Linked DNA regions of Neurospora crassa OR74A. The protein of the gene in region 3 purifies or fractionates together with the protein of the main gene of each other region. This does not show direct contact. Links are inferred from orthologs where the notes say so. Each region holds a gene or a part of one and is shown on either strand. Other genes may lie near its edges.

The links.
Region 1: the proteins of pod-5 (region 3) and NCU03794 purify together in Saccharomyces cerevisiae (affinity purification with mass spectrometry; 12 studies listed by BioGRID). This does not show direct contact. The link is inferred for Neurospora crassa OR74A from reciprocal best matches to the Saccharomyces cerevisiae genes UTP13 and PWP2.
Region 2: the proteins of pod-5 (region 3) and NCU01502 purify together in Saccharomyces cerevisiae (affinity purification with mass spectrometry; 4 studies listed by BioGRID). This does not show direct contact. The link is inferred for Neurospora crassa OR74A from reciprocal best matches to the Saccharomyces cerevisiae genes UTP13 and UTP7.

Annotation. Positions count from the first base shown.
Region 1 is NC_026505.1:2,437,485-2,441,233, forward strand, and holds the start of NCU03794 (periodic tryptophan protein 2), read right to left. Parts: upstream 2,510-3,749; 5' UTR 2,336-2,509; coding exon 2,205-2,335; intron 2,138-2,204; coding exon 1-2,137. Other genes in the region: NCU03795 (cell division control protein 12), read left to right, coding at 3,574-3,678. UniProt on the Saccharomyces cerevisiae protein: Required for bud-site selection and cell separation. Also involved in nucleolar processing of pre-18S ribosomal RNA.
Region 2 is NC_026502.1:3,253,034-3,256,706, reverse strand, and holds NCU01502 (small nucleolar ribonucleoprotein complex subunit), read right to left. Parts: upstream 2,577-3,673; 5' UTR 2,427-2,576; coding exon 2,118-2,426; intron 2,053-2,117; coding exon 697-2,052; 3' UTR 507-696; downstream 1-506. Other genes in the region: NCU01501 (mitochondrial peptidyl-tRNA hydrolase Pth2), read left to right, coding at 1-319; NCU01503 (pre-rRNA processing protein Tsr1), read left to right, coding at 2,937-3,045, 3,213-3,673. UniProt on the Saccharomyces cerevisiae protein: Involved in nucleolar processing of pre-18S ribosomal RNA.
Region 3 is NC_026505.1:1,894,660-1,898,408, reverse strand, and holds the start of pod-5 (polarity defective-5), read right to left. Parts: upstream 2,338-3,749; 5' UTR 2,245-2,337; coding exon 1-2,244. Other genes in the region: NCU03627 (hypothetical protein), read left to right, coding at 2,771-2,803, 2,860-3,749. UniProt on the Saccharomyces cerevisiae protein: Involved in nucleolar processing of pre-18S ribosomal RNA.

The DNA.
Region 1 (3,749 bases), about 540 kb from region 3:
GTCGGTGTAAGGGATGGCCTGGAAGACACGCTGGATCAGACCGGCCTCGTTCAAGCGGAAAGCCATGACGAGAGCCTTGAGGTAGTCCTTCTCCTTCTCGAGCACGGCCAGGGTAGAGGTGGGGGTGATCTCCATGTTGAGGTCAAAGGGATCGAACTGGATGGTGGTGTCCAGGCTGTAGATCAAAAGACCTTCTGTGGAGGCGGCGCAGAAAGCACTTCCGTTCGGGGAGAAGGCAACGCCGTTTACTCTCACTTCGGGATTCTTCCTCCGTGCGGAGGGGTCGCCGCGCTTGGAGCCTGGGAGTGACCTGTCTATCCTGTCCTCGAAATCGGAGGCCTCGCCTTGCTCGTCCAGGAGACCCTGGGGTCCAGCCTCGGTGAGAAGCTTGCTGTTGAGGAACTCTTGAGTGCCTTGAATTGAAAGATTGACGCTCACGGTGTACTTCTTCAGGAGAACCATGGTGGTGACGGAGTACAAGCAAATATACTTGCTGTTTCCGCCGGCCAAAAGGCACGATCCGTCTGTGCTGTATCTGATGGTGTTGAAAGCCTTGGTACCGGCAACATTGGCCGCAGTCCTGCGATCACCGATCTTCCGACCGCCGGAGACATCCCTGCGTCCATCAAGACCAGCTTGCTGCTCAGCTTCCGAGACCGACCAGAACGACAGGTTGCCGTCGAGAGTGGAGATGGCAATCTGGAGAGAATCTGGCCTAAAGGCAATGTCGAGAACATCCGAGTTGAGCTGGAGAGGCTCGCTTGTTTGTGTGCGGTTGAAGATGGACCAGATACGGGCAGTGCGGTCCCAACTACCACTCACAAGAAGACCGCCGTTAGGCGCAAAGGCCAAGGATGACACAGGGCCCTCGTGTCCCGAAAGACGATCTAGGAGCTGGCCAGTCTGGACAGACCAAATATGAATGTCGAAAGAGTCAACGGAGCCAGCCGCCACGATTTCGCCACTAGGATCAACTGCCATGCAAGAGAAAGATAGCCTTTCTGGTGCTGTAAAGGTCCTGAAGTTTCTGTATCTGATCAAGTCCCAAGCCCTGATGGAACCGTCCAAACTCGAGGTAAACAGGACATTGCCCTTCTTGGAGAACTCGCAAGCAGTGATGCCGCTCGTGTGCTCTGTGAAGGTAACAATGCAGAATCCCGATTCCGTATCCCACACCTTAATCTTTCCATCATCGGCGACTGTGACAATCCGCTGACCGTCCGGAGAGTAAACGAGGGAGTTCATCGAGTCGAAATGGCCCTGCTGCTTGAGAATGTAAGACTCGGACTGCCACTCCCACACCAAAAGCTGACCAAGCTTGGATGCGCCAAACGCCAGCCACTCGCCGCTCTTGTTGATCGTCACAAAGTCAATTTCGTTCTGGGAGATGCTGAGAGTGTGGATCATGTTGAAGTCGGGCATTTCGTAGAGGCCAAAGATACCGTTCGAGAAACCGGCAACCAGCAAGTTCGATTCGGGATGGAAAGCGGCGCATCGTACGGTGGCGCTGTTCTGCATGAAATAGTGCTTGTTGACTATCCTCCAGGCCAGGTCATCGTCGTCCACCATATCCTCGTCCTGTCCAGGCTTCGCAACGTATTGCCAGTCGAATACGGCGCCGTCCTTGCTGACTGTGTAAATCGTCTCTTGATCCTTGGAAAACCACGCGCCCACGACACCCTGCCTGTGACCGGACAGAACTGTAGGTGTGAACCCCTCCTCTTGATCAACACTCCATATCCTTGCTGTGAGATCCTTGGAAGATGTGAGGAAGAATCGCGAGTCGTGGGACCACTCGATGTGACGGACATCGTCGAAGTGTTGGACGTGGGTATGGTGCTTGACGAAGGGCGCAAACTCGAGCTCGCCGTCGGCGTTGGCGTCGGGTGTTGAGGGAACGTGCCAAACCTCGATTTTCCTGCCGAGTCCAACAATGAAGTGGCGCCCCGATGGCGAAAAGGAGAGAGCCGTTACTGGAGCCTTGAAGGAGAAGTGATATAGTACTACGCGCCGGGGCACGTTGGTGAGAATAGCTTGGCCATCTTCGTCTATGGAGAGTAGGAGGTTGCCCTGGGGCGTGAGACCGATACGCGCAATGTTCTTTCGGTGGGAGAAGGGAAGGGTATATGATTTGTTACTGCGACCGTGTTAGCCAGCTTACAAGCCATGCGCCAGGCAGGTGTGTAGGGAATCTTGAGACGTACTCGACAAGGTTAAAGACTGTCACCCTGTTGCCAACGGGCGAGAAGAGATGGGTACCGTCCGGGCTGAACAAGAGGTTGCCCTGGCAGTAGACTGTGCCCAGTAGATTAGAAAACTTGAAGTCGGTCTTCATTTTCAAACACTATTCCATGCCTCGACTGTCAACGTTGGAGATGGAGCAGAACTGGGATAGTATCTGGGGATTCGATTATGTACAGGAACTGGAGGACTCTTTCGAGTCTGTATAGGTAAGTGGAACAGAAGTTCAGTTACAGGCTGCTGCTGTTGCGCCTAGACCGCCCGTACGTTCAATGGCGATTCTGCCAGCCAAAAATTTCATAAACTTTTTGGCGGGGAATGGAGTCGGGTTAGCTCCTCGCTTTGGCACCAGCTGGCAAAAGACTTGGCGTATCTGGCAGCCTCACCGACCGCAGCGAGACCAACCACTGCACGGCACCACCAAGCACGGTCACCAAGCACAGTGCAAGGCTGGCAGAGCTGGCAATCAAAGGGTCAAAGGGTCGACCAAGTTTCCATGGCAATGAATGGCTGATCACCGCCAATGGCGCTAGCAGGGAAGGCACGCATCGATTAAATGCTCGGCGAGGGTACCTGGCAAGCGCGTTTCAGTGGAGAGCTGCCAGCGTAGGTCCGTCTCTGGGGACCTGGAATTGGGGAAGTGTGGGAAGCAAGTGGAAAAGGGGAGGGTCCACTCATTTCCCTGCCGCGCAGCCAGTCAAGAGCGGCCTTGTGTGGTGGCAGCTCTACACTACTGCAGAATGCCGGGCTCGAAAGGTGCCATTGGATTATATGGATCGTGTACCGTGCGCCTTCTCGGCATCATCACAGACGGCTGCCGTGGCCCCGCCCAGGCACCTCATCTGGAGGATGGAATCGAATGCTGCTTGCTCGCTGCTTGCTCCGTCCGTCTGCTGCCGCGGCCCTGCAGTGCCTGGAGTGCTTGGGGTTCAGTCAGTGTGGGCTAGGTTTGGCCTGGCGCTCCCGTCCCCGTCGCTGGTGCTCTCTCCTGCGTGGGTGTGTGGTGCTGGGTTGGGCCAGATGAATGTGGTGTGGAAATTTGAACAAGTAAATTCCCCTGAACGAAAGCACAGAGCTCCACGACGGGTCCCCCGTCCACTCACCACTGCAGTTCCATCCCCCGTCTGCCTCTCGCTCCCACCCGTCCACTGTCAACACCAACCTAATTTCGATTCCCATTCACGACCACCACCATACCCGTACACCACGCATCCCGCCTGACGCTCTTTTTCTCCAATTGCCGGTGCTTCTTCTCGCCGTTACAGCAACGGGATCGTGACTTAATCCTCTACCCATAATTATCTCCCAGTTTCGTGTTTCGCCCAGCTGAAGATGGCCCCTGCCACTACCGAGAGCGCCTCACCGATTGGCATTGCCAATCTGCCCAACCAGCGACACAAGATTGTTGCTAAGAGAGGCGCTGCTTTTACTATTATGGTGCGCTTCACTGTCCAAAGCTTGCCGAACCTCGCGCTTGTAAAACCAATGCTGACGGCGTGGGTGGATAG
Region 2 (3,673 bases), on a different chromosome or scaffold from region 3:
CGCAGCTCAATGCTCCCACGCCACCCTCGCCTGCTACAAGCGCCTTTTCTCTGCCGCCCAGCTCGAGCCCCTGTCGCTGTCGGCCCGCCTGCTCCGTCAGTGGGAGCGCAACGGCCAGGCCAAGATCGCCGTGCAAACCAAGACCGAGGATGAGATGCTGGAGCTGATGGCCAAGGCGCGCAGCTTGGGCGTCACTGCTGAGGTGATTCAGGATGCTGGCCGTACGCAGATTGCCTCTGGGTCCAGGACCGTGCTGGGCGTTGGTCCGGCGCCTAAGAGCTTGGTTGATGAGATCACTGGTCACTTGAAGTTGCTGTAAAGGGGGAAGACTTTGTAGCGGGGAGAGGATGGAGAAAGTGTGTTATGTTGACGGTAGCATGAACGTAGATACAAAGAGAAGGACGAGAAGCACGAAAAATGGCGTAACGGGGACGGTATAAAAGTATCATTGGGCTTAGAGAGCGATACAGTCAGGTAAAGACTTTGATGCATGTAAGGCGTAGGTCTTGATTTTTACTTTTGAATAGATTATCAAGCAACAAGATGAGTCTCCACATACACGTAAGCATATCAAGTAAACAAATATAGTATCAGCACAGCATCCGGTCGACTGACCGTCTTTGGTTTCATTAAGTGACTGATTCTGGGTATCATCATGTACTCTGTTCTTCCACCCCTCCCACCAATTTTCATGCTCTACTCTTTCCTCGCAAACCTGGCCAGCGTAGGCCCCAGCTCGGCCACCTTCTCCTTGTGCCTCTCCCCGTTCTTCTCCTGCATCTGCTTGTACATCTCCTCGGCCTTGAGCCGCTTCTCGTCGATAATGTTCTTCTTCTTCTGCTTCCGCAGGTACTTCTTGAGCGCGCTGTTCTTGCCTCTGGCCCGGTTGCGCATCTCCTCCTCCAGATCCGGCGGCCCGGCGTCCAGATCCTTGTCCGCCTCCCGCTGCTTCGCCGACCGCAAATCGAGGGTGCCGATAAAGTTGGGGTCGAGCGCAATCATCTCGGGCGCGAGCTTGTTGAGCAGCTGCTTGACTTCGCCCTCCTGTCTCTGCTTCTTGGTCTCGTACGGGTTGACTTCCAAGGCGTCGAAGTTGGCCTCGCCGGCGCCGGGGATGATGAGGGACGAGAACCCTTCGCTGTGGCCGACACCGAGAACATCGTCAAAGGGGCACCACCGCACCCGCTCGACGCGCTTGCCCTCACCGCCCCACGTCATGTAGGGAGACTGGACCTTTTCTTGTACCGGCTTCTCCTTCGAGAAGAGACCCTTCCAGACCGTTGTCCTGGTGCCCCAGCCGACAGCGGTAAGGCCGGTATCTGAGATGGCGACGGACGAAGCGGGCGCCCGGGTAAAGTAGTTGTTGACCTCCTTGAACATGCGGATATCCCAAACGGCCATCTTGCAGTCCTGTCCTGTTGTCACCATGTAGCGGCCTTCGCGGTCGACAGCCATGGATCGTACGGGACCACGGTGGGCAAGGAGCTTGACCAGAGGTTCTGACGAGTTGGGCGACCATAGCGTTACTGTGCCGTTCTGGTGACCAACATGGAGGATAGCGTTCCAGGGGTTTTGTGTCATGGAAACGGGTGTGCCCAGCTTCGTTGCGATTTCGGTGACGATCTGACCGGTCGATGTGTCCTGGTACTTGAGCTGGCCGTTTGTGCCCAGGGTGGCCAGCAGGAAGTGGTAGGGGAGGAATTCGAGGTGGGAGACTTCGACGTGTTTCCTTAGGCAGTGGAGCTCGACGCCCTGCGAGTCGTAGATGTAGGTGTACTTCTTCTGAGCGACGGCAAAGTATTGGTTGTTGTGTAGCCACTTGACGTCCCTGATGGTCTCTCCCAACTGCAACTCACAGCCCAGCTTGCCGTCTCTCCAGTCCATCGTAGCGACATGGCCCTTTCGTCCTGCCAGAATCAGATCCCGGCCATTCCTCGAAAAATCGCAAATGTAAGGGCCTAGTTGGTCGAGCTTCAAGTCGAACTTTTTCTGGGCGACCTCAATGTTGACTTCGCTGACGATGTCCTCCTGGCGAACCTTGTATGTGCGTTCCTATCGTGACCAGCGCGGTTAGTATCGCGCAAGAGGCTATAAACTCCCAAGCCATGGCTACTCACAAGCTCATGTTCAGCCTCGAGGAAACCGCCGGCATTCTCGAGAAGGATTTCGGCCTCCTTGGCCTTTAGCGTGGCCGTCTGGTACTTTTCTTCGAGGTTGGTAAGGTTGCGCTTGAGCTTTTTGTCCTTGACGTTCTTGACATCGATCTTGCGACCACGGCCGTACGACTTCTCTGCTGCCTTGACTTTGCGGATCTTGTTGGCCTCGGCCTTTGATCGGAACTCGCTTCGGACGTTGTTGATGGCAACGGCGCCGCTGGGCTGCTCTGCCCTCGAGAGGGAGATTTCGGCCCTGTCTGTAGTCTCCATGGTGCCAATGGGTCGACGCGACACAATGGGAATGGGTAATATGTGTGGTGGACTAGGACAGTTGGATCGGCGACGGGATATGGATGGGGGCTGAATATGGAATTGGTCTGGCGGTTTCTCGGTGTGCCCGTGTCTGTCCCTCGCTTTGGCACTTTGAATGTTTCCTTTCCTCGACAACTTTTTTGGGGCCGGACCCACTAAAAAGTTGGATGGGGCAGCTGTTCCGCAGCGATCATTGGCTCCACTGCGTACAAGAGTCCGATAAGATAAGTAGCGAGACGGCCGCCCATGTTCGCACAACTCAAAAAAATGCAACGAGTGCCCCGCCATTGACATTGTCCCCATCACTTTATTCGATACTCGATAGACGGATTGTGACCAGAGAGGTTCTCGAAATCTCTTTTCAGTCCCAACCCCCCAGCCTCTTCTCTTCATCGCCTCCCCAGGTCCAACATCCTGGCGTCAAACTCGCTCCCTTTTCGGTTCAAAGCAGGCGGCGATTCCAGCAATATGCCCGGCGCCGTGAGCGGCCACTCGCATCGGCCGACGACCAAGGCGTCGAACAAGCCCTTCAAGTCACGCCATTCTACCAAGGGTGCTCTCCGGAATGCTGCCAAAGGTACGGATTGCATATAACAGCCGTGCCTCATGCCAAGGTTGTTGCCTTGGACTATGCTCTACTTCACCCAACTTTGGCGCACCAAGCCCAAGCAGACATGAATATACAGCTGCATATAAAGAGGTCGACAACGTCCACACAGCGCTAATACTTTCAACATTCTATAGGCAAGGTAGCCGAGGAGAGAGGTGTGCGCAAGACCCCCCATCAACAAGTCATGTCCAAGTTCGACCGTCGCAACCGTAACAAGCAGCTTCAGCTGCAAAAACACAAGGAACATCTCCAGGAGACCTCCATTTTCGCCGGCAAGGATGGTGCCCCCAGAAACGTGGCCGTTATCCCCCTGTGCAGCGACGGTGACGCTACCGAAGCCATCAAGAGCCTGAACGCCAGCATTGATATCGAGACCGAGGTGCCCGAGGGCGCATTCCGCGTTCCCGTCGACAGATTCAAGCAGAAGCTTCAATACTTCCCCCTCAAGCGCGACCTTACCGCCTGCCTGGACGCTGCCAGAGTCGCCGACTATGTCGTTCTCGTTTTGTCCGCGCAGGAAGAGGTCGATGAACTTGGCGAGCTGATCTTGCGCAGCGTTGAAAGCCAGGGTCTCTCTACCCTCTTCACCGTCGTC
Region 3 (3,749 bases):
CTTGAGGGCGGCCGAGGACGCGGCGGCATGGGTCTCAGCCGAAGTGTCCTTCCAGAAGGTTACGCGGGAGTCGGAACCACCAGACACAAGCATATTGGTCTTGGGGTGCACCGTGAGCGTCCAGAGACGGTCTTCGTGGTTATCGAGCGTGCACTCGGTCTCACCAAGGTTGGCGTCCCAGACCTTGACGAGGGAGTCGGCGCCCGCAGAGGCGAACTGGATGCGCTGCTTGGCCTTGGAGGCGGCAGCAGCAGCCTCGTCTTCAGCGTCGTCAGCGGCCTTGGGAAGGCGCAGCCAAACAACCTTGAGGACGTTATGGGAGTGGCCCTCGAATGTGCGCAGACAGGTGTAGTCCGAGAGGTTCCAGAGCTTGATGGTCTTGTCACCAGAACCCGTCAAGATTACACCCTTACCGGAAACAGCAGTGCCGGTCTCGCCTTGAATGGCAGGCATGCCCTGAGGCGCGAACCGAACCGTCCAGACACCCCTGCGGTGACCCTTGAGGATACCTACGACTTCTAATGTTGCGGAATCCCAGATCTTGACCGTCTTGTCTTGTGATGCCGAGGCAAAAAGCTTTCCGTTGGGGCTGATGTCGAGAGCGTTGATATCCTTCTCGTGGGCTAAGCGACGGAGACTGGTTGAGACGGCTCCCTTTTGTGATGTTCGGGGAATGTCACGCTTCTGAACGAACCGATCCTGGGAACCGGAAATGAGGAATGCGGGCGGGTGGTCGAGGGGGTTCTTGAACGCCTCCGAGTTCTCGGGAGGTACGATCTTGGGGAGTGCGACAGCGCCGACAGACTCGATGTGGCCAGTGAAGACTGCATAGCACTCGAACGAGTTATTGGCTGGGTCAACCCTCCAGAGGCGAGCTGTGTTATCCTTGGCACCACTAGCAACCCAGTGGCCAGACCAGTCTACATCGAGAGACATGACAATATCCTCGTGTCCCTTGAGTAGAGCTACGTCATGGCCAAAGTATGCCGCGCCCTCCTCCTCGTCGCCCAGCTGGGGCTGCTTATCCGCCACGGATACAAGTCTGATATCTTCGGAGTTGGTTGCAAGAGCCATGAGAGACTGATCGGGCAAAAGGTAAACAAGGTCGAGAATTTCGTCGTGTGTTCCCGAGATGCGCCTGAAGGGTTCCAGAGGCTTCGTCGACTTCTTGGTGGCATCGGCGACCGAAGGTGTGCGGTAGAGGGCGAGGGTGAAGTCAGACTGGGCGCAAACAACAAGGTTCTTGTGGGGAAGAGCAAGGGCTGACACTATCGACTCGGCTTCCGACTTGGCGTCTTGCTTTGCTGTGATTTCTTGGTGTGTGGTTGTGTCCCATAGCCTAAGTAGGCCACTTGTTCCAGCCGAATACATCAAGCTTCCGTTGTTGAGGAAGCCGACAGCTTCAACGCCTTCATGGCGCAACATGGGTGTTCCCCTCCATGTCCCCTCCTTCCACAGCCATACTGTCATTGTCTTATCTCTGCTACCGCTGAGAAGGGCATGTAGTTCTGGTGAGTAGTCAAGGCTTTGTACGTTGGACTCGTGCGCTTCTCTCCTCGAAGTCGGGTCGGCGTAAACGGGGTAGGTCTTGCGTTTGCTGAGGTCAAAGATGCGGATCTTGCCGTCCTGTGTGCCGTAGGCAAGACGGAACTTTGAAGCGACGCTGTCATCCTGAGCTTGCTCCTCCTCGGCTGTGCTCTTTCGCCTGTTCTTCTTGTTCTTGTTGCTGGCTTGGTCCTCGAGAGCGGCAATCTCGAAGAAGTGGAGGGCAGAAATAAGGACACTCGGGCCGCTAACGGTATGGGTAACGTATCCTCCGACAATGTCCCAGATCTTGATGGCGCCGTCGGCAGCACCGGTGGCAAGAAGGGTGCTAGTTCGGTCGACCGCGAGAACCACGACGGGGGTGGCGTGGGGCTTCGTGGTGCGTACAAGGGTGGCTTCGATGGAATCGTAATCTGGTGAGACCTTGAGGGAGTATATGCGCATAGTAAGAGAACGAGAGCAGACAATCAGGTGGGAGGCCGAAGGGGTGATGGTGAGGGTCGAGATGGGCTCTCCGTCGCCCTCGATCTCGGCGAGCTGCTTGCCGGTGTTGAGCTCTGTGAGGACGGCCTGCTCGCCGAGGGTGGTCGCGAGGATCCTAGCGCCATTGTCGAGGGCTACGGAACCTCCTGTGAAAATGGGCTGGATGACATTGTTGACCTCGAAGGTCGTCTTGGTGGTGGTTTGCCTGTACGCCATTGTGGTGACGGAGTGTCTGGCTGTACAAGTGGATTAAATCAAACAGAGAGGCAAGGAGGGTTGCGATTGCGCGCCGCCGCCTTTGGGGTTCTGCTGTTAGAACGTCAAGTGTAGGGTGGTACACTGCAAAGTCCCCAATCCCAAAAACTTTTCGCGGGTCGCTGCCTGCCGCCCGCTGATAAGGCCAGGCAATAAGGTTATCTTAGCGCCATGCAGATCCAACCCCTGTAGGAATCCGTGACGAACCACGCTGGAGCACTGGAGCAACTGGAGCATGACCCTCCCTCGGCTTTCTGTGCTCCCCAATCGCCCCCACCAACGTCAACTGTCTGTTCCAGTCTCCATCACTCATCAGCTATACCACCACTATCTTCACCATAACACAATCTCTGGCACAGGACCTAGTTTGTTACACGAGGATGGCCACTGACTGGTCAAATTTCACCGTGTAATGTACACATAAACATCTTGGCAATGCCGGATAGTAATCTACAAACACCTCCTGAATCCAGTTGACCCTTTCACGATGCGGTTGGGCCCACTGACATCACAGGCCCTTGTAAGTCATCGTTGCAAGACTTTCGGGCTACAACTTCGTTCTGACACTAAGGACAGGGCCGGTCTCCCTACGATGAGGTAGTTGAGGGCACTGGCGAGCCCCAACCCGGGGCCCCAGAGCAGTTGTATGATGACCGAGGACGACCAGTGAATCCAGAGACACGGCGCATCAACAGAGACATCATCCGCTCTCACAACGAGGTTATGCTGGTCATCGGCGTTGCCGAACCGGACAGTGGCATCAACGAGGCCCAAGCTCTATACGAAGCCGCCACCAAGCACCAGTACTACGAAGATGGAATTGGGAGGAAGCTGTTCCTCACCGGCGAGGTCTTGGCCACCGTCGGAGTCTGGGGAGTCAACGGCTTGAGGCAGCGTATCTTGCTGTACAAGGACTACGCCCATGTTCCCTTTTCTCGTCTATTTCACTTTCACAGGCGCCAGCAGTCATGGGGAGAGTACCTCTGGGCCGGGCTGCCATCGTATGTCCTGAGCGATAGTTTTGCTGGATTCGACATGCCAGAATACCCATGGGTCAAGTACGTGTTCTCCTGGGTCAACTTACACCTAGAGATCTTCGTCTTCATGCAACGAACCGGCCTTGTGAACACCTCGAGATGGGTTCCCACCCTTGGTTTCTTCATTCCAGGCTGCAATGACTCCCCAATCTTCCTACCAAAACTCCCATCCTCCTTTACCCCTGGAAGCATCATCAGCTGGCTCGGCGCCTTTGTCGCCGGTATCGCCCCTTTTGCCGGCTACTGGTTCTTTTCAAAGACATACGCCCGGCTCGTCTGGTCACTTAGGCGGAAAATCCAACGACGCTTGCCCAAACCCATCAACTTCAGCAGGAGGAGGACTCTTAAGGAGGTAGTCCCCTATTTACAACCGCCCAGTGGAACATACATCCCTCCCACACCCACACCAGAAGAGCAGCAACAGCGACA